Anolis sagrei: one gene and its partners. The protein of the gene in region 3 interacts with the protein of the main gene of each other region in a biochemical or structural test. Links are inferred from orthologs where the notes say so. Each region holds a gene or a part of one and is shown on either strand. Other genes may lie near its edges.

Region 1 (10,064 bases), on a different chromosome or scaffold from region 3:
CTTCCCTTCCCTCCCCTTCCTTTCCTTTCTTTTCCTTCCTCTCATTGTATTTCCTTCCTTGCCTGCTTTCCTTTCCTTCTTCCTTCCTTCCTCCTTCTAATCTTGTCCTTCCTTCCTTCTTTTCTTTTCTTTCCTCTGTCTCTTCTTTCTTCATTGCTTTTCCTTCCTTTCACCTTCCTTCTTTTCTTTCCTTTCCTTTCTTTCTTGTGGTCCGTCCATCCTTCCTTCCTTCCTTCCTTCCTTCCTTCCTTCCTTCCTTCCTTCCTTCCTCTTTCCTTCCTCTTTCCTTCCTTTCTCCTCCTCCCCTCCCCTCCCCTCCCCTCCCCTCCCCTCCCCTCCCCTCCCCTCCCTTCCCCTCCCCTTCCCTTCCCTTCCTCTCATTGTATTTCCTTTCTTGCCCACTTTTCTTTCGTTTTTTCTTCCTTTCTCCTTCTAATCTTGTCTTTCCTTCCTTCTTTTCTTTTCTTTTCTTTCCTCTCTCTTCTTTCTTCATTGCTTTTCCTTCCTTTCTCCTTCCTTCCTTCCTTCCTTCCTTCCTTTCTTTTCTTTTCTGTCTTGTTGTCCTTCCTTCCTTCCTTTTCTTCCTTCTTTCCTCACCTTGTCCTTCCTTCCTTCCTTCCTTCCTTCCTTCCTTCCTTCCTTCCTTCCTTCCTTCCTTCCTTCCTTGTGTTTCCTTCCTTCCTTCCTTCCTTTTCTTTCCTCTACTTTCCTTCTTCCCTTCAAAAATGGAGTCCCTGCGAAATGGAATCAGCCACTATGTTTGCATTACTTCACTTCGGGCGATTAAGTTCCTAATCCTATTTGAGTTTAATGGGCGGGAAGGATGGACAGGGAGAGGAAAGAACATTTCTGGATTCCTTGGGTGACTGGATTGTGCAAAGGACTCTCGGCTGAGCCTGAAGAGATCAGAGAGGGTTTGTTTCTTTGCGCAGGTAGCAAAGTTTTATGGGAATTACAAGAAAGCCCTTCTGGAGGGCGAAAGAGAACTTAGGACAGGAAACAATGGAGACAAAAAGATTCAACCTCAAATCCTGGATCAGAGTCAACATCTCATTATTCCCTCTTTTTATTTCATCCTTTCTGTAACTTAATTTTTTAAAAACTGGCAGGTCGCCGAGGGCACATTTTTCGAAATGGTTCCACAAAATGGAATTTATCTATTTTTCCTTCCATTAGAAGAATGAACTTTTAGTTTTAAAGAGACTCTAATCCTTGTGCAATTGTCCCTCCACATTGGTATTTATTTATTTACAACATTTCTACTCTGCCTTTCTCTAGCCCAGAGGCAACTCATGGTTGCTTCACAACCAGAGTTATAAAATACATACATTAGACCTTTAAAAACAAAACAAAACAAAACCCCAACATCTTCACAATTAGCCTCATTATCCAAAGTCATTGTCAGGGCTGTTCCAAGATTCAATTGCACATAATTCTGCGTTTATCTATTGCACTGGATTCCAGAAGGCTTGCTCAAAAAGCCACATTTCCCCTTTTGTCCAGAAGGTCAGGAGGGAGGAAGTTCCATAGCTGAGGGGCCACCACTGAGAAGGCCCTGTCCCTCGTCCATGCCAACCGAGCCTGCGGAGAAGATGGAATTGAGAGCACGACCTCCCCAAGATGATCTTAAATTCCTAAATGGTTCATAGGGAGAGATACGTTCAGACAGCTAAGCTGGACTGAAACTATTTAGGGCTTTATAGGCTAAAGCCAGCACTTTGAATTGTGCTCAATAGCAAATTGGCAACCAGTTGAGCTGACGTAACAGAGGAGTTGTGTGCTCCCTGTGCACTGCTCTTTTTTTTATATAATTATCTTTATTGAATTTTCAAATATAAAACAGACAAAACATTTAACATATAATCGAAACAGAAGGAGGAGGGGGGGTTTAAGGGGGGTAGAGGGTGGGGGGGATGTTAGGTCCAACTGTATTACCTGGGTTTCCTAAACAAGTATGCAAATATTTCTGTCTGACGACTTTGTGACATCCTGATACACCTGCGCACTGCTCTGATGTGCAATCCATTTGAAACTTCCGAACAGTCTTCAAAGACAACCCCACGTAGAGCGCATTGTAGTAGTCATTATGACTTTTGTGAATTTATAGTTTAAAAGTTAAAAAGTCCACAGCTGCATGGTATACTGTAGACTCCTGCAGAAGTGAGAGGATCCCTCTTGTCCTTTGCTGAACGAAGCATTGGTTGGATTTTCTTGGTAGGTCTGTAGATAGTTTGTATGTTGTGTTTCCTTATCAGCTTCCCTATGCAGGAGTCTACTGTATTCCATGCAGTTGTGGACAAGTCTACACAGGGACCCCCAAACACAGCAGCATTGCCCAAACACACATCAAGGAACATGAAAGGCACTGCAAACTACTTCAACCAGAGAAGTCAGCCATAGCAGAGCACCTGATGAACCAACCTGGACACAGCATATTATTTGAGAACACAGAAACGCTGGACCACTCTCACAACCACCATGTCAGGCTACACAGAGAAGCCACTGAAATCCACAAGCATGTGGACAATTTCAACAGAAAGGAGGAAACCATGAAAATGAACAAAATCTGGCTACCAGTATTAAAAAAACTCTAAAATTAGAACAGCACTACAACAGAGAGGAAACAAACAAGGACATCTAATCACATCTCAACAAAAGATTGCTCCAGGCACTGCCAGACCATCAAATGCTAATCAAGGTGGTCAGTTGAAAAATTCACACCTAGTTCCAGCAGACAAGAGTCCTTTGTCCCACCCTGGTCATTCCACAGATATATAAACCCTTTTTCCTAGTTCCAACAGACCTCACTACCTCTGAGGATGCTTGCCATAGATGCAGGCGAAACGTCAGGAGAGAATGCCTCTAGAACATGGCCATATAGCCCGAAAAAACCTACAACAACCCATCATCAATACATACAGAGTAAACAACATAATCATAAGATTAACAAAACAATATAAGCATAAAATTGTCACCATAACACATACATATTAAAAGTAATTCTGCCTGTTCAAGGCAATTTACAAGGCCGGGCTGAGATTAGTGCAAGCTCAAAAAATCTAGGGGGGGCAGGAATCAAGTGCAGTGTTATAGTAGGATCTATGGCTGATTCATATCCAGGGCCTATTAGAGGAAGTGACATGGGTAATTGGTAGGAGGAATAAGGCCATATTCCACAATGTCTAGGGCTGAGCTAGAACTAGTTGTTCACAAAGACGTTGAAACCACCAGGTCTTCAAGGCCTTACGAACAGAGGGGAGGGATGGGGCCTTTCTAATTTCCCTGGGGAGGGCATTCCAGAGGCCCGGGGGGGGGGGCACCACTGAGAAGGCCCTCTCTCTCATCCCCACCAACCATACTTGTGACGGTGGTGGGAGCGAAAGGAGGGCCTTGCTAGAAGATCTTAAGAGTTTGCACTAGTTCATAGAAGGAGATGTGATCACAGAGAATGGTGGGGCTCAAACCATTGTAGGTCTTGTTCTGAATGTGCACAGATGACATTGTCATCAGCATATTGCAGTTCTATAACAGATGTTTTCACAACAACATATAATAATATAACATAGTATATTATAATAAGTATAGTATAGTATGGTATAATATACAATACAATACAATATAACATAATGTATCATTTCTTGGGCTTCCATGAGAAACTTTTGCTTCAAAAAGGGCTCTGCGGCTGCAAAAGTTTGAGAACCCCTGCTCTAATGCAATCCCAAACCGTATCATATGGCTGTGCTGATCCAGTCTGCCAAGAAGGGACCAAATCTTAGGGACTGGCCAGTTGTGTGTGTGTTTGGGGGGAGAGGAGAGTGGGCGGTGCTTCGTCTCCATGATTGACAGGCCAGGATAGCAAAGGGAGGGGAGAAAGAACTCCAGCAGACGAGAAAGAACTCTTGTCTGCTGGAACTAGGTGTGAATGTTTCCAGTATGTTTCTGCAAAGGTGTTTAGGGTGGCTTGTAGGTCTTCTTCTGAATGTGCACAGATGACGTTGTCATCAGCATATTGTAGTTCTATAACAGATGTTGTTACAGCACCCTATAATATAATATAGTATAGCATAATATAATATGGTATGATATAAGTGGCTTGTAGGTCTTCTTCTGAATGTGCACAGATGACGTTATCATCAGCATATTGTAGTTCTATAACATATGTTGTCACAACAACCTCTAATATAATATAGTATAATATAATGTAATATGATATAAGTGGCTTGTAGGTCTTCTTCTGAATGTGCACAGATGACGTTATCATCAGCATATTGTAGTTCTATAACATATGTTGTCACAACAACCTCTAATATAATATAATATAGCATAATATAATATGATATTATATAAGTGGCTTGTAGATCTTCTTTTGAATGTGCACAGATGACGTTATCATCAGCATATTGTAGTTCTATAACATATGTTGTTACAGCACCCTATAATATAATATAGTATAGCATAATATAATATGGTATGATATAAGTGGCTTGTAGGTCTTCTTCTGAATGTGCACAGATGACGTTATCATCAGCATATTGTAGTTCTATAACATATGTTGTCACAACAACCTCTAATATAATATAGTATAATATAATATGATATGATATAAGTGGCTTGTAGGTCTTCTTCTGAATGTGCACAGATGACGTTATCATTAGCATATTGTAGTTCTATAACATATGTTGTCACAACAACCTCTAATATAATATAGTATAATATAATGTAATATGATATAAGTGGCTTGTAGGTCTTCTTCTGAATGTGCACAGATGATATTATCATCAGCATATTGTAGTTCTATAACAGATGTTGTCACAACAACCTATAATATAATATAATATAATATAATATAATATAATATAATATAATATAATATAATATAATATAATATAATATAATATAATATAATATAATATAATATAATATAATATAATATAATGTATCATTTCCTGGGCCTCCATGAGAAACTTTTGCTTCAAAAAGGGCTCAGCTGCTGAAAAAGTTTGAGACCCCCTGCTCTAATGCAATCCCAAACCGTATCATATGGCTGTGCAGATCCAGTCTTCCAGGAAGGGACCAAATCTTGGGGACTGGCCAGTTGTGTGTGTGTTTGGGGGGGGGGGGGGGGGAGGAGAGTGGGCGGTGCTTCGTCTCCATGATTGACAGGCCAGGACAGCAAAGGGAGGGCCTTGCCGGGCTCACGTGACCCTCCCCGGGGCTGGAACCGAGAGAGGGAGAGAGGGAAAAAAGTTGGGGGGAAGAAAGCAGCAATCCCTTGGCTGGCCCGTCCCAGTCTAGTCCAAGCGGTGCATTTGGCAGGAGGCGCTCCGGAGCGGCAGCGAGAGCAGCAGCTGGCTCTTCCCTCCCATGCTCGGCACCAGAGCCCTCCGCACTGCTCCCTTTGATCCGCGTCGGTCCCCGCTTGCCTTCCCCGCGCCAGGATCCCCGCTTTTCCCTCCCACGGATCCTACGAGCTCCGCACTGGCTGTCAAGAAGAACCATGGACTGTTTCTATCTGCCGTGCTTTCTGTCAGTGAGTAGCGCTTTGCTCCTTTCCTTCCTTCCTTCCCTTCCCTTGGATTCAAAACAACACCCTTATTATAGCATTATTAGTATGATTAGTACCCATATTAGCATGATGAGTATTGGTACTATCAGTATAGTTGGGTTGCTGTAAGTTTTTCGGGTTGTTTGGCCATGTTTCATTAGGAAAGACTTGGAGAGATGTGCATTTTGTCGGAGGATTTTGCTCCTTCCTTTTCTTCCTCTGGATCCAAAACAACACTCTCACTATAGCATTTTTAGCATGATTAGTACCCATATTAGCATGATGAGTATCAGTACTCTCATTATAGTTGAGTTGCTGTGAGTTTTCTGGGCTGTTTGGCCATGTTTCATTAGGAAAGACTTGGAGAGATGTGCATTTTGTCGGAGGATTTTGCTCCTTCCTTTTCTTCCCCTGGATCCAAAACAACACTCTCACTATAGCATTATTAGCATGATTAATACCCATATTAGCATGATGAGTATCAGTACTCTCATTATAGTTGGGTTGCTGTAAGTTTTTCGGGCTGTTTGGCCATGTTTCATTAGGAAAGGTTTGGAGAGATGTGCATTTTGTCGGAGGATTTTGCTCCTTCCTTCCTCCCTCCTTTCCTTCCTTTTCTTCCCCTGGATCCAAAACAAAACTCTCACTATAGCATTATGAGCATGATTAATACCCATATTAGCATGATGAGTATCACTACTATCAGTATAGTTGGGTTGCTGTAAGTTTTTCGGGCTGTTTGGACATGTTTTATTAGGAAAGGCTTGGAGAGATGTGCATTTTGTCCGAGGATTTTGCTCCTTCCTTTTCTTCCTCTGGATCCAAAACAACACTCTCACTATAGCATTATTAGCATGATTAATACCCATATTAGCATGGTGAGTATCAGTACTCTCATTATAGTTGAGTTGCTGTGAGTTTTCTGGGCTGTTTGGCCATGTTTTATTAGGAAAGGCTTGGAGAGATGTGCATTTTGTCCGAGGATTTTGCTCCTTCCTCCCACCCTCCTTTCCTTCCTTTCCTTTCCCTGGATCCAAACAAAACTCTCATTATAGCATTATTAGCACGATTAGTACCCATATTAGCATGATGAGTACCAGTACTCTCATTATAGTTGAGTTGCTATGAGTTTTCTGGGCTGTTTGGCCATATTTCATTAGGAAAGGCTTGGAGAGTTGTGCATTTTGTCGGAGGATTTTGCTCCTTCCTTCCTTCCTTCCTCCCTCCCTCCTTTCCTTCCTTTCCTTTCCCTGGACCCAAACAAAACTCGTATTATAGCATTATTAGCACGATTAGTACCCGTATTAGCATGATGAGTATCAGTACTCTCATTATAGTTGAGTTGCTGTGAGTTTTCCGGGCTGTTTGGCCATGTTTCATTAGGAAAGGCTTGGAGAGATGTGCATTTTGCGGCTTTTGTCGGAGGTTGGGTTCCTTTCTCTTTCTCTCTCTCTTCTACTCCGAGTCTTAACTTTCCTGCCCGGTTTACTCCGAGTTTAGTTCAATCAGTAGTTGAGCTTTGTTTTACTCGAGAGGAAACCCACACAAGAGGCTTTGTGTCCCCAAAAGAAAACCCCAAACTTGGAGGAACTTGGAGATTCGCGCTCCAAAAGCAAAGCAGCGGCTCTTTCTTTCCTTGCGCCCCAGGATTTGGTGTTTAGAGCCTTAAAGCGAAGGCACTCCACTCTCTTGCGTGTATTTATGGTTAAAGGTAGAGGGACTGGGATAAAGAACTGGGAGAGGAACTGGGGAGGAAGGAGTTTGGGGCAGAAGCTTTGGCCGACTTCAGCCGACTTCATCCGATGCGCAATTGCGCATCCGATGAAGTCGGCTGAAGTCGGCCAAAGCTTCTGCCCCCAAACTCCTTCCTCCTCATTTTCTCTCAAAGCTACAACTCAACTCTTCCTCCCCCAACTCCTTTCTCTCAGTTGCCCTCCAAGCTGCTCTAAATCCCCGCTTTGCAGGCTACTATTTCAAGAGAAAACCAGGCAATGATGTTCTTTGCAGTACGCGCATGGTCTGGGATAGGAAAGTCCCAAGTCCTTCCCACCCAAGATCTTCAGGAGCAACTCTTTCCAAAAGCCATTTCCACTCAGGACCTTGCCCCAAGTCCTTCCTACCCAAGATCTTCAGGAGCAGTCCTCTCCAAAAGCCTTCTCCACTCAGGACATTGCCCCAAGTCCTTCCCATCAAAGATCTTCAGGAGCAGCCCTCTCCAAAAGCCTCCCACACTCAGTACCTTGCCCCAAGTCCTTCCCACCCAAGATCTTCAGGAGCAACCCTTTCTAAAAGTCTTCTCCACTCAGCACCTTGCCCAAGACTTTCCCACCAAAGATCTTCAGGAGAAGCCTTCTCCAAAAGTCTTCACTCAAGACCTTGCCCCAAGTCCTTCCCACCCAAGATCTTCAAGAGAAGCCCTCTTCAAAAGCCTTCTACACTCAGGACTTTGCCCCAAGTCCTTCCTACCCAAGATCTTCAGGAGCAAACCTTTCCAGAAACCTTCTCCACTCAGGACCTTGCCCCAAGTCCTTCCCACCCAAGATCTTCAGGAGCAGCCCTTTCCGAAAGCCTTCTCCACCCAGGACCTTGCCCCAAGTCGCTCCCACCAAAGATCTTCAGGAGAAGCCCTTTCCAAAAGCCCTTTCCACTCAGGACCTTGCCCCAAGTCCTTCCCACCAAGATCTTCAGGAGCAGCCCTTTCCAAAAGCCTTCTTCACTCAAGACCTTCAGGAGCAGCCCTTTCCAAAAGCCTTCTCCACTCAGGACCTTGCCCCAAGTCCTTCCCACGCAAGATCTTCAGAAGCAGCCCTTTCCAAAAGCCTTCTCCACTCAAGAGCTTCAGGAGAAGCCCTTTCCAAAAGCCTTCTCCACTCAGGACCTTGCCCCAAGTCCTTCCCACCCAAGATCTTCAGGAGCAGCCCTTTCCGAAAGCCTTCTCCACCCAGGACCTTGCCCCAAGTCGCTCCCACCAAAGATCTTCAGGAGAAGCCCTTTCCAAAAGCCCTTTCCACTCAGGACCTTGCCCCAAGTCCTTCCCACCAAGATCTTCAGGAGCAGCCCTTTCCAAAAGCCTTCTTCACTCAAGACCTTCAGGAGCAGCCCTTTCCAAAAGCCTTCTCCACTCAGGACCTTGCCCCAAGTCCTTCCCACGCAAGATCTTCAGAAGCAGCCCTTTCCAAAAGCCTTCTCCACTCAAGAGCTTCAGGAGAAGCCCTTTCCAAAAGCCTTCTCCACTCAGGACCTTGCCCCAAGTCCTTCCCACCCAAGATCTTCAGGAGCAACTCTTTCCAACCAAGGCTTTGAACTGGACCTTGCCCCCAGTCCTTTGCATCCAGGATGTTTTCACTGGATCTTGCCAAAAAGTCCTTCCAACCCACTCAGGACCTTGTGAAAATTCCCTTGTAGCCAGGACGCTTCACTTCCGCAGAGGGATTTTTTCTCCTCTTAGCAGCTGGCATCTCCGGCCCCCTTCTACACTGCCCTATAATCAAGATTATCAAAGCAAATAATGCACTTGAGTCTACACTTGCCAGATAATCCAGTTCAAAGCCTGATCATCTGGATTTTATATGGCCTTTCTCCCTCTCCCTCTGTCCCCTATGCTGCCCTCTGGGATTGCTTAACAACCAGCAAAACATACTATAATATCATAAGGATATGCTCCCAAACAGAAATCTGGGCTTGGAAGGAGATGAAGGAAAGGGATGCACAACGTTTGGTGTTTTTTTGAAGTAAGGTCAAAGTCTTCCTGGAAAAACTGATTTTGGGAGAGAGAGAAAGAATGGATGGATGGATGGATAGACAAAATAGAGTAGAATATAGATAGAAAAAATAATTAATTAATAGATATATAGGAGCACCAGCATTGCAGTGGGTTAAACCGCTGAGCTGCTGAACTTGTTGACCAAAAGGCTGGTGGTTCAAATCTGGGGAGTGGCGTGAGCTCCCACTGTTAGCCCCAGCTTCTGCCAACTTAGGTTCAAATCTGGAGAGTGGTGTGAGCTCCCGCTGTTAGCCCCAGCTTCTGCCAACCTAGCAGTTCAAAATGTAAGTAGATCAAGAGATACAGCTATGGCGGGAAGGTAACAATGCTCCATGCAGTCATGCCGGCCACATGATCTTGGAGGTGTCTACGGACAATGCCGGCTCTTCGGCTTAGAAATGAGCACCAGACCCCAGAGTCGGACACGACTAGACTTAATGTCTGAGGAAACCTTTATTTATTATTTATTTAGGGCATTTGTATCCCAACCGGCACAGCACAGTGCCAACAACAAAATAAAAACAAGCATCAATATACATATTATAATAAACCAATATAAAAACATTAAAACAATTCACCGATTTAAGTTGTCATCCTTTACCTTTACTTTACACAGACAGGAAATATAGATGATATATCGAGGGGATTAAGATAGAGGGGCTTAAAGATGGATGGATGGAGGGGGATAAAGACAGATGATAGAAAGATGAGATAGATAGAGGGATAAAGTTAGATGGATGGATCCATGGCTGGATA
Region 2 (11,124 bases), on a different chromosome or scaffold from region 3:
TACAGCATACAGTTATATACATGGAGTGTCAGTTTTGTCTATACCAGAATTCAAGGCAAGATACAACAAGCAGATGTGGGTGGGGAGGATCAAGAACTGTTAAGATCATGCTGTGACATAAACTAACAATGTTGGTATCAAGCTATTTCACTATCTTGATTAATTTAAATTACTCCCTATCAAACCACAAGCTGGCTCAGCTTCAGCATTTCCATGTCACCCTTTATTTTCCACCAGGGAGGAAAATGATTTTTCAGCAATGATATGTTTATTATTGCTGAAGAAATCTTCTTACTGAGTTTTATGGTTCTTAGCTGTTAGTTGAATCAGGCCTATTTGGGAGGAGAGAAATCTGTGATTTGGTTGCAATACTTAGTGATTCTCATCCTGTGGGTCCCCAGATGTTTTGGCCTTCAACTCCCAGAAATTCTTACAGCTGGTAAACTGGCTGGGATTTTTGGGAGTTGTAGGCCAAAACACTTGGGGACCTACGGATTGAGAACCACTATGTGAGTTATCCCTCATTATCCCTGATACCTTTTCAATTTTCATCATGACTTTCTGAGCAGAGCTTGGAAAAGTTACCTTTTTTGGACTACGTGAATTGTATGCTGGCAGGAAATATTTTGGGAATCAGAGTCCCAAAAATAATGTTTTCAAGCTCTAGTCTTGGGCAAGTGAAGCTTTTTCTATAGGGTTGTTGATATATTTATCATGATCTTACTAGAACTTGCTGTAAGGTTGTTTCTGCTCAGCTCCTTTATTCAGAGTCACAGTTATTCAAATGTTTCAAAACAAATACTAATGGCTCAAGAAAAACTAAAGTTGGGGTGAGGAAGTTTAAAAGGAATTGTTGGGCATTTTCATTTGGGAGGAGGAGGAGGAAGAGATGAAGGAGAAGGGGGCAGGTTTTATCTGAGACCTTAACAGGAGAACAGCTCCTCATTCTTTCTTTACAATGGGAGTGAGACGGTATTGGGGTATTTGGTACTTCCAGGAGTTGCATCACTCCTTGCAAATGAAAGAGAAATACCTGAAGGTTACTTTTTAATATAGGCATGTTTTTGTTTTTGTTTTTTGTGAAATAATGTGTGCATGGATGGGTGTGGCGTACCTTGTTTTAGAGAATTACAGCCTTCAGCTAATGGGTTTTTAGGGTTTTGTTTTTTTTAAGAAAATGACTTCTTGTTTGGATATAATTTTATTTCATAAATAGCCTTTAGTGCTGGAAAAATGTCTGCATAATTCCTTCCTCTAACAGATACCAGGGCTCAGGTTTTTCTTCTCCTGAATCTTTGCAGAGCAACCAGCAGGATGGAGCTCCACAGTGTAATGATCTGGCTCTTGAAAAAATGTTTGGTGACAGATTGTAGAGGAGCCAGTGCTGGCTCCCTCAGAAGAGAAGGCTGTGAGGAGACATTATAGCTATGTGTAAATATGTGTGGAGAAGTCATAGGGAGGAGGGAGCAAGCTTGTTTTCTACTGCCCTGGAGACTAGGATGCGGAGCAATGGCTTCAAACTACAGGAAAGGAGATTCCACCTGAACATGAAGAACTTCCTGACTGTGAGAGCTGTTCAGCAGTGCAACTGTCTACCCCGGAGTGTGGTGTAGACTCCTTCTTTGGAGGCTTTTAAACAAAAGTTGGATGGTCATCTGTCGGGTGCTTTGAATGTGATTTTCCTGCTTCTTGGCTGGGGGTTGGACTGGATGGCCCACGAGATCTCTTCCAACTCTATGATTCTTGGCCACAGTGAGGCACCCACTTCAGGCAGTAGATATTGGAAAACAATAGAAGCCATCTCCATCACTTCTTTCACCCTTCTTATTTCCTAATAGGATGTCCAGTATGCAGATTCCCCTCCCCTACCTGCAAAAATCCAGTGCCTTTTATAACTGGCAAGTTACCAGCCTTTCTTGGCAAAGAAGACCAAAGACCTTGTAAAACTACAACTCCTGTGGCTCAAAGCTATGGGTTCCTAGGCATTATACTTTGGTTAGACACCAGTATTCTGTCAGGGAAAGCTTGTAAAATTAAAACTCCCATGAATCCATGGCATGGAGTCATGGCAGTTACAATGGTGTCAAGCTGCATTAGTTCTACAGTGTAGATGCACCCCCAAAACTCTGGAGAGCAGAGTTTGAATCTCTACTCAGCCATAGAAACTCACTGGGTGACCTTGAGATGAAGGTTCATACAACCCCCCCTCTCTAAAAAAAAAAATCAGCTTTCAAAGCCCAGCAACAAGTTGAGGGTGGACAACAAATCCAAAGAAAATGAGCAGAGCTAGTGACCAGGAAATAGGAACCCACAAAATAGAAGAGTTCTGATGGGTAGAAAGGATTTTTAGGGTTGTAGGTTTTTTGGGCTGTATGGCCATGTTCTAGAAGCATTCTCTCCTGATGTCTCTCCTGATGTTTCACCTGCATCTATGGCAGGCATTGTCAGAGGTTGTGAGGATGCCTGCAAAATGTGAGATGCAGGCAAAACGTCAGGAGAGAATGCTTCTGGCCATGAAAGCCTTTGACAGTAAATTTCCAGGGTCTCGAATTCTGGTCTCCAAACAGGCTTTTTTTGGAGGGGGGTCTCTAAAATGTAAAACTAATGTAGTTTGGCATCACTTTAACTGCAATGGCTCAATGCCATGGAATCATGGGTGTGATCTTCAGTCTTCTCTGCCAAACAGTGCTGGTACCTCACCAAACTACAACCCTAAAGAGCATTGAGTTCTGGCAGTTAGAGTGGTATCAAACTGCAGGAATTCCACAATGTAAATGTGCTCTTTGACAAGTAAAGACGTGTCTATCCATTCTGACCATCAAGTGTCCATCTTCCCCCATGTACTGGATATTAAAAAATCACCATCCTAGGGGAGGCATGAGCAAACTTGGGCTCTCCAGGTGTTTTGGGGTTGGTCTCTCACAATTCCTAACCACCCTGGGTCCTTTCCTTTCCCTCCTCAGTTGCTTAAAGGCCTGAGGCTGTTAGGAATGGTGGGAGAGAAGGCTGAGAGGGGATATGATAGCCATGTATAAATATGTGAGAGGAAGCCACAGGGAGGAGGGAGCAAGCTTGTTTTCTGCTTCCCTGGAGACTAGGACGCAGTGGAGGAATGGCTTCAAACTACAAGAGAGGAGATTCCATCTGAACATGAGGAAGAACTTCCTGACTGTGAGAGCCGTTCAGCAGTGGAACTCTCTGCCCCGGAGTGTGGTGGAGGCTCCTTCTTTGGAAGCTTTTAAACAGAGGCTGGATGGCCACCTGTCAGGGGTGATTTGAATACAATATTCCTGCTTCTTGGCAGGGGGTTGGACTGGATGGCCCATGAGGTCTCTTCCAACTCTTTGATTCTATGAGTTCAACTCCAAAACATCTGGAGGGCCCAAGTTTGCCCATGCCTGTCCTAGAGGAACACCATTGAGGCAGATCTCCAGACCTTTGAGGCAAGAGCTTCTGTCTCTTCTCTCCCCCCCCCCCCCTTTGGATTTTCTAAGGATACTTTTGGAGATCAGAAAAGAAAGACAGAGGAGAAGAGGAGGAGGAGGTGGAAACCTCCTTTGCCAGGGAATGTCGAAGCTGTCTGAATTCTTTCCACTCCAGGAACGAGTCAAGGGGTCCTCCTCCTTTGGGTTTCCTTTAGACACGTTGGGAAACCGAAATTAGTAACAACAGGAGCAGCAAAAGACTGTCCTCTTCCAGGAGTGTGTTGGGCCATCCTCCTTTGAATCCTCTTCCCGCCAGGAAGGAGTGGAGGGGTCGTGGGAGATTTCCCAGGCAAGAACTTGTGTGTGTGTGTGTCCATCTCCTTTTGGATTCCCTTGGAGACGTTTGGAAAACGAGGAGGAAAAGCAACAAAAAGAACAGGAGCAATCCTTCCCCTGCTACGAACAAGTTGGTGATCCCCCAATCTCCCAGGCAAGAACTTGTGCGTAACTCTTTGGGTTTCCTTGGGACGTTTCTGGAGACCAAAGAGAATAATAATACCACAATAATAGGAGGAGGAGGAAGAGGAGGAGGAGGAAGAGGAAGAAGAAAAGGAGGACGAGGGGGAAGAGAAGGAAGAAGAGGAGGAGGAGGAACAGCCACCACCTCTTTTTTCAGGGCTGTGTTGAGACTGTTTGAACTCTGTGTTGTCAAAGGCCTTCATGCCCAGAATCACTGGGTTGCTGTGAGTTTTCTGGGTAGTATGGCCACGTTCCAGAAGCATTCTCTTCTGAAGTTTTGCCCACATCTATGGCAGGCATCCTCAAAGTTTGTGAGGTATATTGGAAACTAAGCAAGTGAGGTTTATATATCTGTGGAAGGTGGGAGAAAGAACTCTTGTCTGTTGGAGGCAAGTGTGAATGTTGCAATTAATCACCTTGATTAGCATTGCAAAGTCTGGCAACTTCAAGGCCTGGCTGGTTCCTGCCTGGGGGAATCTTAGCAGGCTCTGTTACTGAGTATTCTTTTTTTACTATCCTAACTTTAGAGTTTTTGTTAATACTGGTAACCAGATTTTGTTCATTTTCATGGCTTCCTCCTTTCTGTTGAAATTGTCCATGTGCTTGTGGATTTCAGTGGCTTCCCTGTGTAGTCTGACATGGTGTTTGTTAGAGTGGTCCAGCATTTCCATGTTCTCAAATGATATGCTGTGTCCAGGTTGGTTCATCAAGTGCTCTGCTATGGCTGACTTCTCTGGTTGAGTTAGCCTGCAGTGCATTTCATGTTCCTTGATTCCTGTTTGGGCAATGCTGCCTTTGGTGGTCTCTATGTAGCATTCTGAACTCCACCAATGATGGAATTGAACCAAACTTGGCACACAGAACTCTTATGACCAAAATAAAATATTGAAAGGGTTTGGTGGGCATTGACCTTGAATTTTGGACTCAAACGGTGATGGATCTGGACCAAACTTGGCACGAATACTCAATATGACCAAACGTGAAAACTGGTGGAGTCTGGGGGAGATAGAGCTTGACATTTAGGAGTTGTAGTTGCTGGGATTTATAGCTCACCTACAATCAAAGAGCATTCTGAACCCCACCAACGATAGAATCATAGAATCATAGAGTTGGAAGAGACCTCATGGGACATCCAATCCAGCCCACTGCCAAGAAGCAGGAAAATTCCATTCAAAGCACCCCCGACAGATGGCCATCCAGCCTCTGTATAAAAACCTCCAAAGAAGGAGACTTCACCACATTCCGGGGCAGAGAGTTCCACTGCAGCAGAAAACAAGCTTGTTCCCTCCTCCTCTCACATATTTATACATGGCTATCATGTCTCCTCTCAGCCTTCTCTTCTTCAGGCTAAACATGCCCAGATCTTTTAGCTCCTCCTCCTCATAGGGCTTGTTCTCCAGACCCTTGATCGTTTTAGTCCTCCTCCTCCTCTGGACACATTGCAGCTTGTCAACATCCCCCTTCAATGGTGGCGCCCAGAACTAGACACAGTATCCCACACAAAACCCCCATGACCAACAGAAAATATTGTGTTTTCTGCTGGTCTTTGGGGACCCCCCTGACAGACTCCTCGCGACCCCCCCCCCCCCCCAGGTTGAGAAACGCTTCTCTAGTGCGACAAGGTCCTTTGTGGGCCTGCAGATAGTTTGTATGTTGTGTTTCTTCATCAGATTCCCTATGCAGTCAGTGGTTCCCTTGATGTAGGGCAAGCAGGCATGTGGGGGGGGGGGGGAGGGGGGGGGGGCTTGAGGGGCTTCAATCCCCCCCCCCCCCAAATTCTCATGGTGGTTCGCGAAAAGGCCTTACTGGTGCATTATTTAAACTGTTATGTTTATCCATATCATGATCTGATCACCATACTCAATATATCCCATATGCATGGGGGTATTGGGGTAACGATACAAAAGGTTTGCTAGGCTAGACCCACTTTCACTCAGACTCAGCCCCCCAAATCGAAATCCTGGCTACGGGCATGAGGGCAGGCATCCTCAGAGGTAGTGAGGTGGGGTGTAAGTTGTGTTTCTTCATCAGCTTCCCTATGCAGTCAGTGGTTCCCTTGATGTAGGGCAGGCATCCTCCAACTGCGGCCTTCCAACTGTTTGGGGCTCCAACTTGTTCAATTGTCAGGAATTCTGGGAGTGGAAGGGCCAAACAGCTGGAGGGCCGCAGTTTGAGAAAGCCTGATGTAGGGTAAGAGGATCCCGCCTTGCCCTTCTTGTTTGAATTCTTCTCCGTGGAGGAATCGCGGAACATCCCCAGATCTCCGCGGCGAGAGTTTGTGTGTGTTGTGCGTGTTTGTGTCTCCTCCTCCTCCTCCCTTTCCTTCGGAGTTCCTTGGGACACTTTTGGAGAGAGAGAGAGAGAAAAGGAGAAGGAGAGGGACCCGCCTGGCTCCGCCCTTGTCCCGCCTCGCCTGCTTTGGCGGAGAGCGGCGTCCTCCTCCTCCTGCTGCTGCTCTCCTTCCTCCTCTCCTCTCGCTCTGCACCGGCTCCAGAGCCCTTCTTCGGACTCACTCGGCGGCATCCTTCCTCTCCGAGGGACTGACTCCCTCTCGCCTCCTCCGTTGCTCTGGATGGCTCCCGCGGACTGAGCCCGCTCCTCCTCCGGATCATGCGCGACCGGGGCGAGTGAATCCTTTGGCGGCGGCGGAGGCGGCGGGCGCTGCTCCTCGGATCCGCGGCTCCTTCGGCTCCCGTCCGCGCCCGGCAGGGTGGGCTTTCGGCGGGGCTCCGGCGATGCTGCTGGGGCTGCTGGTGCTGTGGGCGGCCCTGGAGCTGCGCGCCTCCTCCTCCTCTTCCTCGCTGGCCGACTTCACCTTGGAGCACGAGGTCCACTCCAGCTTCATCCACCGGCGGCTGCGGAGCCAGGAGCGACGCGAGATGCAGCGGGAGATCCTCTCCATCCTGGGCCTGCCCCACCGGCCCCGGCCCCACCTGCACGGCAAGCACAACGCCGCCCCGCTCTTCATGCTGGACCTCTACAACGCCATGGCCGGCGGAGGCGGCGGCGGCGGAGGGGCCGAGGAGGAGGCGGCGCTGGGCATGGGGGGCGAAGCGGGCGCCGAGGCCGCCGGGCTGGAGGGCTACTCCTACCCCTACAAGCCCCTCTTCAGCACCCAGGCACCCCCCCTGGCCAGCCTCCAGGACAGCAACTTCCTCACCGAGGCAGACATGGTCATGAGCTTCGTCAACATGGGTGAGTGCGTGGCTCCCCTCCTCCGCTCAGGCTGATACCCCACTCGTGGCTCATTGCGCTTCTCTGTATGCCAGGGGGCATCCACTCACTACACTGTAGAGCAGGCACAGGCAAACTTCGTCCCTCCCTCCAGGTGTTTTGGATTTCAACTCCAAATGGTGGGAGTTGAAGTCCAAAACACCTGGAGAGAGGGCTGAAGTTTGCCCATGCCTGGTCTACCGGCTGTTAGGAATTGTGGGAGTCGAAGTCCAAAACACCTGGAGGGAGGGCTGAAGTTTGCCCATGCCTGGTCTACCGGCTGTTAGGAATTGTGGGAGTTGAACTTCAAAATGCCAGGAGGGAAGGTCGAAGTTTGCCCATGCCTGTCCTCGAGGAACACAGTTGAGGCAGATCTCCAAATCTCCGAGGCAAGAGCTTCTGTTTCTCCTCTTCCCCCTTTGGATTTCCTTAGGAGACTTTTGGAGACCGGAGAAGAAAGACTGAAGAGAAGAAGGAGAAAGCCTCCTTTGCTAGGGATGTCAAAGCTGTTTGAATTCTTTCTCCGCCTGCTGTAGAGTGAATAGGCTGAAGGCCTCCTTCTCTGCCAAAGAGTGCAGGTGCCTCACCAGATCCCAAAACTCAAAAGCATAGTTTGACACCACTTGTATTTTAATGTGGCACTGGAACTATTTCACAGAGGAAGTTAAAGACCACAGCTTCCCTGGTTCCCAAGTATTCCGCCATGGCACTTCAGATGCACCTTCCATGCAAAGTTAGAAGGATCTGGATGCCCTTGCCAATACCTGATTCTATGATAGCATCATAGAAGCATAGAATCATTGAGTTGGAAGAGATCTTCTGGGCCATCTAGTCCAACCTCATTCTGCCAAGAAGCAGGAAAATCACATTCAAAGCACCCCCGACAGATGGGCATTCAGCCTCTGCTTAAAAGGCTCTGAAGAAGGAGCCTCCACCACACTCCGGGGCAGAGAGTTCCACTGCTGAACAGCTCCCACAGTTAGGAAGTTCTTCCTAATGTTCAGGTGGAATCTCCTTTCATGTACTTTGAAGTCAATGTTCTGCATCCTAGTCTCCAGGGCAGCAGAAAACAAGCCTCTTCCCTCCTCCCTATGACTTCCCCGCACATATTTATATGTGGCCCTCATCATGTTTCCTCATCCTTCTCTTCTGCAGACTAAACATGCCCAACTCTTTAAAGCCGCTCCTCATAGGGCTTGTTCTTCATACCCTTGATAATTTTAGTCACCCTCCTCTGGACATATTCCAGCTTGTCAACATCTCCAATCAATGCTTCTGGAACATGGTCATACAGCCCAGAAAACCTACCGCAACCCAGAAGTTAAAGACCATGTAAAAGTATAGCTTTGCATGCTCTCATGATAGTTAGGTGCACCTTCCATGCAAAGTTAGAAGGATCTGGATGCCAGTGCCAGTTCTGATGCTTGTCACCCTTAGGTGCCCATTATTCTAGTAATTCTCACTGGGGTGGAAATCTGCCATGGACTCTTAGTAGGCAGTATTACCTATGCATTCTGATGGTGGCTAGCAGTCCTTTTCAAAGTTCTTATTTCATGTCAAAACAATTGCATAAATAGATAAGTTTAAAATTGATAAAATAAAGGGATAACAAGCTGCTAAATAGATTTAGACCAAAAATGGGCAACAGCAACTGCATTGTCTGTAGCTTTAAACAGTTCTTCCTCTGTGCATGAGGCAATGCATAATGGACAAGTATACAGATACTGAGTTGTTTGTTCTGCTCTACAGTTACACAAGGTGGAGGATTATTTTAAGGTAGTGGATCTCAACCTGAGTCCCCAGGTGTTTTTGCCAACAACTCCCAGAAATCCTAATTTACCAGTGTTAGGATTTCTGGGAGTTGAAGGCCAAAACATCTGGGGACTCACAGGTTGAGATCCACTGTTTGTTCTAAGCAGTGCCATTTTGCTAGGTTGTCTTTTAATCTGCCAATTCACTTCTGAGTCTGTTCAAGGACTTTCAAATTGCTCATTCTTGGTTTGCCTCTGGAGGAAGACCCTCGTAGGGGACCATCTAGTTGGAATTGCCTGATTTTGCTGCCCACAGAGATATTCTTGCTGTTGCTGGAGAAACATGATGAGGAGTGGTGGTTCTCGTGAAACAGTTCCTTGATTTAAGTTTACTAGGAGGAGGCTGGTAGCCATACAGTGGGTGGCTCTCATAGTGTGAAACCTTATTTCTCTCACAATTGGCAGCAACTTCCCATCACACATAGGGGAGGGGGGGATGCCAGCTAGCTTGCTTATTTATTTATTTATTTATTTATTTATCATGTCAGGGGCAACCAGACCATCTACAAGCTAACATAGAGTCTATCAACAGGTGTAGATTAAAGATATCTTGTGATTATTCTATGAATGCCCCCAATGCAATGCTGCTCTGGGGCACTGTAGAACATTAAAATGGTCCAGAAGAATAGGATTTGCCGGAGGATGATTTGCTTTGGAACCTGGAGCTGAATCTGCTTCAGCTTTGCTTTTTGTACTGGTGGTTACCAATCGACCTGATGGCACGAATTATGTGATTGCTGTATTATGCCTCTGCTTCTGTGCTATTGCTTGAGCTCCACCACTTCACCAAGAAGTAGTATACAGTGCTTTAAAAACAACCACCAGATTTAAAACACTTTTGGGAGTCTCTCCTTGTGGGTGTGGCACAACCTGGTGCAGAAAGGTTTGATGCAAATCTCTTCAAATGATATCTCTCCCCTTTCTAAAATTGTTTTACTTTTTGAACTCACCTATCCTGCTACCAATCACTTAGATAGTAGAATAATTGCCCAGGTTCATAGTACACTCATTTGTGTGCTGTATGTTGGTGTTTTGCTCAAATATCTGTGGATCTAGATCCTTATCGAGACTGGATGGAGATACAACTTTTCTCTATACTGTGGAAATCTCCATTAAAATCAAATAGTGAATCTTCCTAGTGGTGATGGGACAAGTCAAGGGGGAAGGGGGAGGGGGAGTGTTGCCTTTGTAAATCTAATGTGAACCATTCAGGGATGTTCTGGGATAACTCAGCCTGTCCATATGATCTCGGATGGTTTTCCCTGGTTCTGGGTCTTGTCCTTTTCAGTATCTTTGTGTCTTCCCTTGTGAGTATCCCATATTCCCCATAATTGAGTATTTTCTTCAGTGTGAGAATAATTAATTTAGCAACAACTCAGTCAAATTAAGCCTATATAATGAAGCCCCCGGTGGTGCAGTGGGTTAAAGCACTGAGCTGCTGAGTTTGTTGATCAAAAGGTTGCAGGTTCGAATCCGGGGAGTGGCGTGAGCTTCCGCTGTCAGCCCCAGCTTCTGCCAACCTAGCAGTTCGAAAACATGCAAATGTGAGTAGATCAATAGGTGCTGCTCTGGCAGGAAGGTAATGGCACTCCATGCAGCCATGCTGGCCACAAGACCTTGGAGGTGTCTACGGACAATGCCGGCTCTTCAGCTTAGAAATAGAGATGGGCACCACACCTCAGAGTTGGACACGGCTGGACTTCATGTCAGGGGAAAACCTTTACCTTTACCTAAGTATATAACTTTCCTTAGGAGCAGTTACTGGACAGCCACCTTCAATACTTTTCAAGAGCCAATGGTCTTCACCGCAACTGTCCCTAACCTGTCTTCAGGACCCTGTAGAAGAGACATTAATATGCTCAGTTTAAAGCTTTCAGTTCTGCGTATGCTAATGCCAAAATCTGTGCTGTTTTCTTTGGCATATCAACACACAGGAGTAGGATGTATCATAAGTTGCCTTGTTAAAAAAACCAAAACAAAGCAGTTAAACTTCAGCAACTTCGGACCATTGGGGACCATATTTGTAGTGAGCATCATATGTGCTTGAACCCTTCTTCAGTGGTTAGGAATTACAAGACGTGGACAATTTATTATTTTTCTGCAAGTGATAAAACCTAGATTGTGTGTTGATTATCAAATGATTACAGTTGGAAATG
Region 3 (10,039 bases):
GCCACAGCAACGCGTGGCAGGGAAAGCTAGTTAATTCTAATATTCAAACACATAAAGTGTTGGAAAGATATGCAGAAATGTCACTACAAACTTCATAGTATGCTGTGTTTTTAAAAATACTGAGTCCACCCACTGGCATCTGGGAATGTGCTCAAATGCCAATGCACAATTTTTCTGTATAAAACAAAAATATTCAGGCATTTCCTCTTATTAACCCAAATTCTTCTGTTTTCTTTTTTTAAAGTGAGATTTAGCAGGTACACAGAAACATGTCCGATACAGCTAACAGTATATGTTAGATGTTTCTCTTGGTAGGCAACAGCTTATTTCGTACCTAAAAATAACCGGTTTTATAACACGTTGTTAAATAGAAAGGATTTTTTGTGATAAACAAAAGCACTTATTAATGTAAAAATAAGAAACTTTTGGAACCAGTTTTAGACTCTGTGGCAACCACTGGAACAAACATAGGCACGGACCACACCAAAAGCCCATAGTCCTATTAATGATTAAGTTTGCTTGAAACATATATATATATTCTTATGCCAGTAACATATTGAGTTGCTTAAGGGACTTTTCAAAAGACTGCTTTTCACATTGCTGACTTGGAAATTACACAATGTTCCCATTATATGGTCTAATGTTATCTTCCATGTTAATACAGAAAATTACAAGTGGCATTCTTCACTGCCAAATGAATGACACTTGGAACAGGATGCCTAGATTCAAATGTAACCTCAGGGTCATCCTGCTCTAAGCTTGGGCACATCTGGCCATGATCCTCCCTGCATACACAAAATTGATACCATTGTTCTGTTCACTCTGCAGCTTAGTTTGCTTTTATTTTGCTGTATTCATTTTCAGGCTTCTTTTACCTTCATTAGATCCTCTCTTTTTAGGAAAAATATGGCACAAGGGGAACTTTTTATTATCAAGAATTCAAATGAGCAACTTTTAAAAAAAAGACTTGCACCTTTACTTATTTAGGCGATCCCTCGTTTTCCGAGGATGATTGTCTTCCAGTATTCTTGTGGGTCCGTATGGGGATGTGGAGCCCTATTCTTGCTCTGCATCTTCTTCCGCAGTGAGGGCAATGGTTTCCAGGTGGAAGGTGGTCTCGGTCGGGGTTGGCTTGACGTGCCTTCCTCTTGGGATTTATAGTTCACCTACAATCAAAGAGCATTCTGAACCCCACCAATGATGGAATTGAACCAAACTTAGCACACAGGGCTCCCATGACCAACAGAAAAAACTGGAAGGGTTTGGTGGGCACTGACCTTGAGTTTGGGAATTGTAGTTCACCCACCTCGAGATAGCACTGTGGACTCAAACAATGATAGATCTGGACCAAACTTGGCACGAATATTCCATATGCCCAAATATGAACACAGATGGAGATTAAGGGAAATAGACCTTGACATTTCAGAGTTGTAGTTGCTGGGATTTATAGTTCATCTAAAATTAAAGAGCATTCTGAATCCCACAAACGACAGAATTGGGACTAATTTCCCACACAGAACCCCCATGAGCAACAGAAAATACTTAAGGCCATCCAGTCCAACTCTCTTCACCAGGGCAAGAAAATGTAATCAGAGCCCTCCTGACAAAGAGCCATCCAGTCATAAATATAGATAGATAGATATGATTCTCTTTCACACACACAGATATAGTATCATAGATTTGAAAGAGACCCTTAAAGAAGGACTATGATATGTTGCTATTCCAGAGTAGGCAAACCAGACACTCTCCACATCAACACTGACAAAGAAACAACAAGAAATACTGTTTACTCACAAGCATAAAGGAATTACATATATTAGAAACCAACACTTTCTCATTACTTTATTTTCCAGATCACCAGACTGGGCCACAGCAACGCGTGTCAGGGGACAGCTAGTACAAAAATGCAACGTTTGTTTGTGGGATTAACATAACTCAAAAACCACTGGAAGAATTGACACCAAATTTTATACACACACAAAACACATATACACAGATTGGGCCACAGCAACGCGTGGCAGGGGACGGCTAGTTTAAAATATTTTTATCCCTTTTTTCTTTCTTTACATCCTTTAAAACAACCGGGCATGACATAGTTATACAATAATACCACCGGGCAACAAAACCAGTGGAGATGTTAGTCACTAAGATGATGAATGTGAAGTGTTTTGGACACAAAGAGCTTGTACTGCTCTTGAGCCATGAGCTCTCCTCTTCTATTCTGAAGCAATGGCAGTTCTTTCTAAATGCCAGCTTCCAGTATTGGAACTGGAGGGTGGTAGGCTGGAAGGCGAACAATACAGGCCACTGTTTCCCTCTGAAGCTTCACAGAAGGCCAGCTGCCAATTTCAAGCATCTTCAATGCTTTTCCCATCCACTTGTCCTTCACAAACTGCTTGGCGAAGAGGGCACCGTGCCATGAGAAACTGCTGCGATATCCCAATAACATCTTAGTCAGCTGTCAAGGAAAAGACAAGTACATTGGCACAATGCAGGAGTCTCTTTATAGTAGATTTCACAGGCAATGCAACTCGTTTTTCACATTACTAAGCAAAACCCTTCCTTCATTTTTCCTCATGCTGACTGGGACATTTCCATAGGCTGTCAGGTTTTTATATGAATGTGCTGAGGACAATGTGAAAATGCAGTTTTCACAAAGTATTTTTAAGACAGAACAGACTTGATTTTTTAATTTAAAAAAACCCTAATATATTTACCGAACTGCTGTGTGTTTTTTTTAAAAAAAAAGTTGTCATTTTAAATTGTCCTGACCCATTCCTTTTCCATGCCCTAAAAATTAGATATTATTATTATTATTATTATTATTATTATTTACAGCTTTTATATTCCACCCTTCTCACCCTGCAGGGGACTCAGGGCGGATTACAGTATACACATATATGGCAAACATTCAATGCCAATTTTTGACATACAAACATATACAGACATACACAGAGGCTATTTAACTTTTTCTGGCCACCAGGGGAGCTGTCGCTTTCATCGTCCATCTGCGACACTGATGAAGCACTTCCGCATTCCCCGCATGCTTCCCCGCTGGAATGCTTTGCTGGAGTCTTCTTTATGGCCTCATAAATCAGTTAATTTAGCCTCCCCACACTTTAAGGTGGTACCTTATTTTCCTACTTGACAGATGCAACAGTTGCAAAGGTCGACAACAGGCTACACACAATTGGTTGGAAACCCACTCCAACCCTTCGAACTCATGACCTTTTTGGTCAGAGTGATCTTAATGCAGCTGACACTCAGCCAGCTGCACCACAATCCCGGTGCAGATATGAAGAGCAGGCAAGATCTTTTCTTTTAATATTTATGTGTTGTCGGGTAATTCCATGCTTATGTTGCTGTTATTTTTTGTTCATGTTGTGACTCTGTATATTTTGATCTTGTTGCTTGGAAACTGCCCCGAGTCTCCCGAGAGAGACAGAGCGGTATATAAATAAAGTTTATTGTTATTATTATTATTATTATCATCATCATCATCATCAGTTTTAAACATATCATTCCTAAACAAAAAGAAATATGCTGTCCACTCCTGCTTATCTCCAGTTCACCATTATAACTCACTCTTTCTTACCTAATGGACCAGGAATGGTACTTTGGATTGTTGTAGGTTTTTTTCAGGCTATATGGCCATGTTTTAGAGTCATTTTCTCCTGACGTTTCGCCTGCATCTATGGCAAGCATCCTCAGAGGTAGTGAGGTCTCTTGAAATTAGGAAAATGGAATGACCAGGGTGGGGCAAAGAACTCTTGCCTGTTGGAGCTAGGTGTGAATGTTTCCACTGACCACAGGTTAACCCCCTGTGCCGGCAGGACCGAAGACCGACAGGTCGCAGGTTCGAATCTGGGAAGAGGCAGATGAGCTCCCTCTATCAGCTCCAGCTCCTCATGCGGAGACATGAGAGAAGCCTCCCACAAGGATGATAAAAACATCATAATCATCCGGGTGTCCCCTGGGCAATGTCCTTGCAGACGGCCAATTCTCTCACACCAGGAGTTACTCCTGACACACACACACAAAATTATTATTATTATTATTATTAGTCCCAGCATACATGGTGCTATTCTCCCAATATCAGGAGCCACATGGGTTGCCCATTCCTGTAGCAAATAAATACAACTTGGTATCCTGGGCTGCTCACTTCCCCTTATGGAACTTCCACACAGCCATATAACCCACAATATCTGCTTTGAAATCAGGGGCCTTGCACACAGCCATTTAACCCAGAATATCAAGGCAGATAGAATCAAAGAGTTGGAAGAGACCTCATGGGCCATCCAGTCCAACCCCCTGCCAAGAAGCAGGAATATTGCATTCAAAGCACCCCTGACAGATGGCCATCCAGAAAACAAGCTTGCTCCCTCCTCCCTGTGGCTTCCTCTCACATATTTATACATGGCTATCATATCTCCGCTCAACCTTCTCTTCTTCAAGCTAAACATGCCCAGCTCCTTAAACCGCTCCTGCTTATATGGCACCACAATTCAAGAGAGATATTGACAAGCTGGAATGTGTCCAGAGGAGGGCCACTAAAATGATCAAGGGTCTGGAGAACAAGCCCTATGAGGAGCGGCTTAAGGAGCTGGGCATGTTTAGCCTGAAGAAGAGAAGGCTGAGAGGAGATATGATTTGTTGTTGTTCATTCGTTCAGTCGTCTCCGACTCTTCGTGACCTCATGGACCAGCCCACGCCAGAGCTCCCTGTCGGCCGTCACCACCCCCAGCTCCTTCAAGGTCAGTCCAGTCACCTCAAGGATGCCATCCATCCATCTTGCCCTTGGTTGGCCCCTCTTCCTTTTACCTTCCACTTTCCCCAGCATATGATAGCCAGCCATGTATAAATATGTGAGAGGAAGCCACAGGGAGGAGGGAGTAAGCTTGTTTTCTGCTTCCTTGGAGACTAGGATGCAGAACAATGGCTTCAAACTACAAGAGAGGAGATTCCATCTGAACATGAGGAAGAACTTCCTGACTGTGAGAGCCGTTCAGCAGTGGAACTCTCTGCCCCGGAGTGTGGTGGAGGCTCCTTCTTTGGAAGCTTTTAAACAGAGGCTGGATGGCCATCTGTCAGGGGTGATTTGAATGCAATATTCCTGCTTCTTGGCAGGGGGTTGGACTGGATGGCCCATGAGGTCTCTTCCAGCTCTTTGATTCTATGATTCTATCGCCAAAACTTCCCAAGGTCGGAAATGGCGGGGAAGCTCCGCCTCGCTTTCCCCGAAGGCGCCTCCTTCGGGAATCTCCGCCACCACTTCGGCACCCCTTTCTCCTCTCTTTGGGAAAGGTGTATCCCAATGCGCCTGCGCCAAGTTGGCCTGTGCGGGGAGCTGGGGGCCTCACTTTAAAGCCGACCCCTTCCGAACTTATTCGGCTACTTCCGTAGAGAGGCGGGAAGGCAGCCAAATAACACCTTAGGGACTTTAAAAAGAGAGAGCACGGGGGATGGGGAAGGACAGACGCAGGCACGCGCGGAGGGGGGGGGGGAGGTAGAGTCCGCGCGCCTCGCACTTTCCTCCCCAGCCAATCATGGCATGCTTCACGACTAGCAGTGATTGGAATAATTCGAGTGAGTGAGAGAGAGAGCGTTCCAAACGTTGCTCCCCCCTCCTGCCGTACTCCTCAAGCACGCAAGAGAGAGAGCGCGAGGGAGTGTGTGCGCGCGCGCGACGTTTTCCCTCCGCGTCTTCCTGCGCAGGCGCGTGCCCAGACACATCTACACAGAGGCACACGCGCGCGCGCGCGCGCTCACGCTCTGACGAGGGAGGGGGGACGGCGGCGCTGGCGTCGAGAGGCGGCTGTGGTAAAGGCTGTGGTAAAGGCGGAGAGGCCTGCGCTGTCTCCTCACAGTTTTCTCCCTCGTCTTCGTGGGCCGCCTTCGCCTTCGTCGTGTAGAGAAGCCGAGGAAGGTCCCCACCGGGCCAGGCCCTCAGCCGAGGGGACGCGGTTTACCTCAGACCTGCTTCTCTCTCTCTCTCTGTCTCTCTCCTTCCGCACAAAGGAGGATGAAGGCCCCCCGGCACGGGTGAGTGAGGCAAAGGCGGGGAGCTAATGGCGGCGGGAAGGAGTCCCTTCTCTTCCCTTCCGAAAATATTCCCTCCTCCTTTAAGGCCTGGCTTGAATTGCGTTCGTTTTTGCCTTTTAAGAAGCAAGAGACTTAGTCGCCGTCTCCAGACTAAGAGTAGGCGAGGCCTGGCCGGGAGCTCTATGGAAAGACCCACTCGCACACATAGGCCCCTTCCACACAGCTGAATACAATCGCACATTATCCGATTTGAACTGGAATATATAGCAGTGTGGACTTGGGACCCTTCCACACAGCTATAACCCAGACTATCGAGGCAGAAAAAGCCCACAATATCTGCTTTGAATATCTGAGTCCACACTGCCAGTTCGAAGCAGATCTTGTGAGATTTTGGGTTGTTGTAACGATTTATGCCAATGATCCTCGAACTTTTTAAATAGAGGGCCAGGTCACAGTCCCTCAAACTGTTGGAGGGCCAGATTTTTTATTTTTTTTAATAATAATAATAATAATAATAATTATATCTGCAGCATGGTGTAGATCAGTGTTTCTTAACCTTCCTAATGCCACGACCCATTAATACAGTTCCTCATGTTGTGGTGACCCCCAACCATAACACAGAAATGCTGGACCACACCGATAACCACCATGTCAGACTACACAGAGAAGCCATTGAAATCCACAACCAGGTGGACAATTTCAACAGAAAGGAAGAGACCATGAAAATGAACAAAATCCGGCTACCAGTATTAAAAAACTCTAAAATTACAACAGCAAAACAACAGAGAGGAAACAACCAGGCACATCTTAACACCTCTCAGCAAGAGATTTTCCCAGGCTCAGGCAGGCCTTCAAATGCTAATGAAGGTGATCAGTTGAAACATTCACACCTAGCTCCAACAGACAAGAGTTCTTTGCCCCACCCCAGCCATTCCACAGATATATAAACCCATTGTCCTAATTCCAACAGACCTCACTACCTCTGAGGATGCTTGTCATAGATGCAGGCGAAATGTCAGGAGAAATGCCTCTAGAACATGGCTCTATAGCCCGAAAAAACCCACAAGAACCTAGTGATTCCAGCCATGAAAGCCTTCGACAATACATTATTTTGTTGCTACTTTATAACTGTAATTTTGCTGCTGTAATGAATTGTAATGTAAATATCCGATATGCAGGATGTATTTTCATTCACTGGACCAAATTTGGCAGAAATACCCAATACACCCAAATTTGAATACTGGTGGGGTTGAGGGAGATTGATTTTATCATTTGGGAGTTGTAGTTGCTGGGATATATTAGGGTTCACCTACAATCAAAGAGCATTCTGAACTCCCCCAATGATGGAATTGGACCCAACGTGGCACACAGAAATCCCATGACCAACAGAAAATACTGGAATGGTTTTGGAATTGTAGTTCACATACATCCAGAGAATACTGTGGACTCAAACAATGATCGATCTGGACCAAACTTAGCATGAATGCTCAATATACCCAAATGTGAACACTGGTGGAGATTGGGGAAAATAGACCTTGACATTTGGTAGTTGTAGTTTCTGGGATTTATAGTTCACCTACATTCAAAGAGCATTTTCAACCACACCAACGATAGAATTGGCCCAAACATTCCACACAGAACCCCCATGACTAACAGAAAATACTGTGTTTTTTGATGGTCTTTGGCGACCCCTCTGACACCACCTCGCGACCCCCCCCCCAGGGGTCCCAGGTTGAGAACCACTGGTGTAGATATTATTGTATCTGCAGCATGAGCCAGATTATAATTTGAATATGCACACATTTTATGTGTAGTGCAAAAAACCCCTTAAAAACAATACAATAATTAAAATGAAGAACAGTTTTAACAAATATAAACTAATTAGTATTTCAATGGGAAGTGTGGCCTGCTTTTGGCTGATGAGATAGGATTGTTGTTGTTGTTGTTGTTGTTGTTGTTGTTGTTGTGTGCTTTCAAGTCGTTTCAGATTTAGGTTCAACCTGAGTGAGGGCCGGGTAAATGACCTTGGAGGGCCGTATCTGGCCCCCGGGCCTTAGTTTGAGGACCCCTGGTTTATGCGATCTGAAGAGAAACCGGAATATGCCTTGCCTTGTATTCATATATGGTTTTACTGTATGTATACTGTATGTATGGCCAAGTGTATGTTTTGCATGTTTTGATACGGTCAAAATTGACTAATCAATAAAGAATTGTTGTTGTTGTTGTTGGTTGTTGTAGGTTTTTTCTCCTGACGTTTCGCCTGCATCTATGGCAAGCATTCTCAGAGGTAGTGAGGTCTGTTGGAACTAGGAAAATCTATATAAATAAAAATGTAATGTTCATTTGTGGGATTAACAGAACTCAAAAACCACTGGACGAATTGACACCAAATCTGGACACAAGACAAAACCTAACAACCCAATGTATGTTCTTCACTCAAAAAGAATTGATTTTGTCATTTGGGAGTTGTAGTTGCTGGGATTTATAGTTCACCTACAATCAAAGAGCATTCTGAACCCCATCAACGATGGAATTGAACCAAACTTGGCACACAGAACTTCCATGACCAACAGAAAATACTGGAAGGGTTTGGTGAGCAGTGTCCTTTGGTTTTGGAGTTGTAGTTCACCTACATCCAGAGATCACTGTGGACTCAAACAATGATGGATTTGGACCAAACTACACAAATACTCAATATGCCCAAATGTGAACACTGGTGGAGTTGGGGGAACATAGAATCTTGACATTTGGGAGTTGTAGTGACTGGGATTTATAGTTCAAAGAGCATTCTGAACCTCACCAATGATAGAATTGGGCCAAACCTCCCACACAAAACCCCCATGTCGGCCACAGCAACACGTGGCAGGGGACGGCTAGTGGGTTTATATATCAGTGGAATGACCAGGTTGGGACAAAGGACTCTTTTCTGTTGGAGCTAGGTGTGAATGTTTCAACTGACCACCTTGATTAGCATTTGATGGCCTGGCAGTGCCCGGGGCAATCTTTTGTTGACAGGTGATTAGATGTGCCCGATTGTTTCCCCTCTGTTGTTTTGCTGTTGCAATTTTAGAGTTTTTCAAGATTGTGAGATTTTATTCGGCAGTGTGGAAGGGGCCTCAGATAACATAATTCAAAACAGATATTGTGGGATTTTCTGCCTTGATAGTCTGGGTTATATGGCTGTCTGGAAGGACCCGTAGACATTACACTCCTTGGCTGAAGCAAGTCAGGAGCTGTTGGGTTTGGGGGGGGGGGGGGGAGTATACCTGCTCTTTTGCACACGCTCCCATTAAAATAAACACACCTCACCGCGCTGCAGCTTGACTTCCTCACAAACCGAGGCAGGATGGGTCTGGCACAGGCTTATTTTGGGAGGGAAGGGCGAAGAAGATAGGAATGGACTTTCCCCGAAGATCCAAGGCCCCTTCCACCAAACTGTATAAAATCCACGTTGAGTTGGATTATATGGCAGTGTGGATTCATTAATCCAGTTCAAAACTGGTATTACCAGAACTCCTTCCACAGAGCTGGATTATATGGCAGTGTGGACTAAGATAACCCAGTTCAAAGCACATATTGTGGAGTTTTCTCCGTTGATATTCTGGGATATATGACTGAGTGAAAGGGCTCCTAGACAGTTCAGTTCCAGGCTGTTTGGCCTTTTGTACGAATCTGTCCTGGTCCTGAAATCTTCAAGAGAGGCCCTTCTCTCTGCTCAGCTGGTGGGCCTTCTCTGGCCCCTTCCACACAGCTGAATAAAATCCCACATTATCTGCTTTGAACTGGGTTATATCACAGTGTGGACTCAGATAACTCAGTTCAAAGCAGATATTGTGGATTATCTGCCTTGATATATTTATTTTATTTATTTACAGTATTTGTATACCGCTTTTCTCACTCCAAGGGGGACTCAAAGCGGTATACACATAAGTAATGGCAAAATTCAATGCCATATACTGGGTTATATGGCTGTGGAAGGGCCCTTGGTGGCCGAGAC

The links.
Region 1: the proteins of BMPR1A (region 3) and BMP4 form a complex in vitro, tested with the Homo sapiens proteins (3 studies listed by BioGRID and IntAct, with this or other methods). The link is inferred for Anolis sagrei from reciprocal best matches to the Homo sapiens genes BMPR1A and BMP4.
Region 2: the proteins of BMPR1A (region 3) and BMP7 form a complex in vitro, tested with the Homo sapiens proteins (2 studies listed by BioGRID). The link is inferred for Anolis sagrei from reciprocal best matches to the Homo sapiens genes BMPR1A and BMP7.

The regions. Positions count from the first base shown.
Region 1 is NC_090021.1:337,796,022-337,806,085, forward strand, and holds the start of BMP4 (bone morphogenetic protein 4), read left to right. Parts: upstream 1-5,195; 5' UTR 5,196-5,530; intron 5,531-10,064.
Region 2 is NC_090024.1:227,005,836-227,016,959, reverse strand, and holds the start of BMP7 (bone morphogenetic protein 7), read left to right. Parts: upstream 1-6,311; 5' UTR 6,312-6,679; coding exon 6,680-7,139; intron 7,140-11,124. UniProt on the Homo sapiens protein: Growth factor of the TGF-beta superfamily that plays important role in various biological processes, including embryogenesis, hematopoiesis, neurogenesis and skeletal morphogenesis.
Region 3 is NC_090023.1:159,896,026-159,906,064, reverse strand, and holds the start of BMPR1A (bone morphogenetic protein receptor type-1A), read left to right. Parts: upstream 1-5,749; 5' UTR 5,750-6,042; intron 6,043-10,039. UniProt on the Homo sapiens protein: On ligand binding, forms a receptor complex consisting of two type II and two type I transmembrane serine/threonine kinases.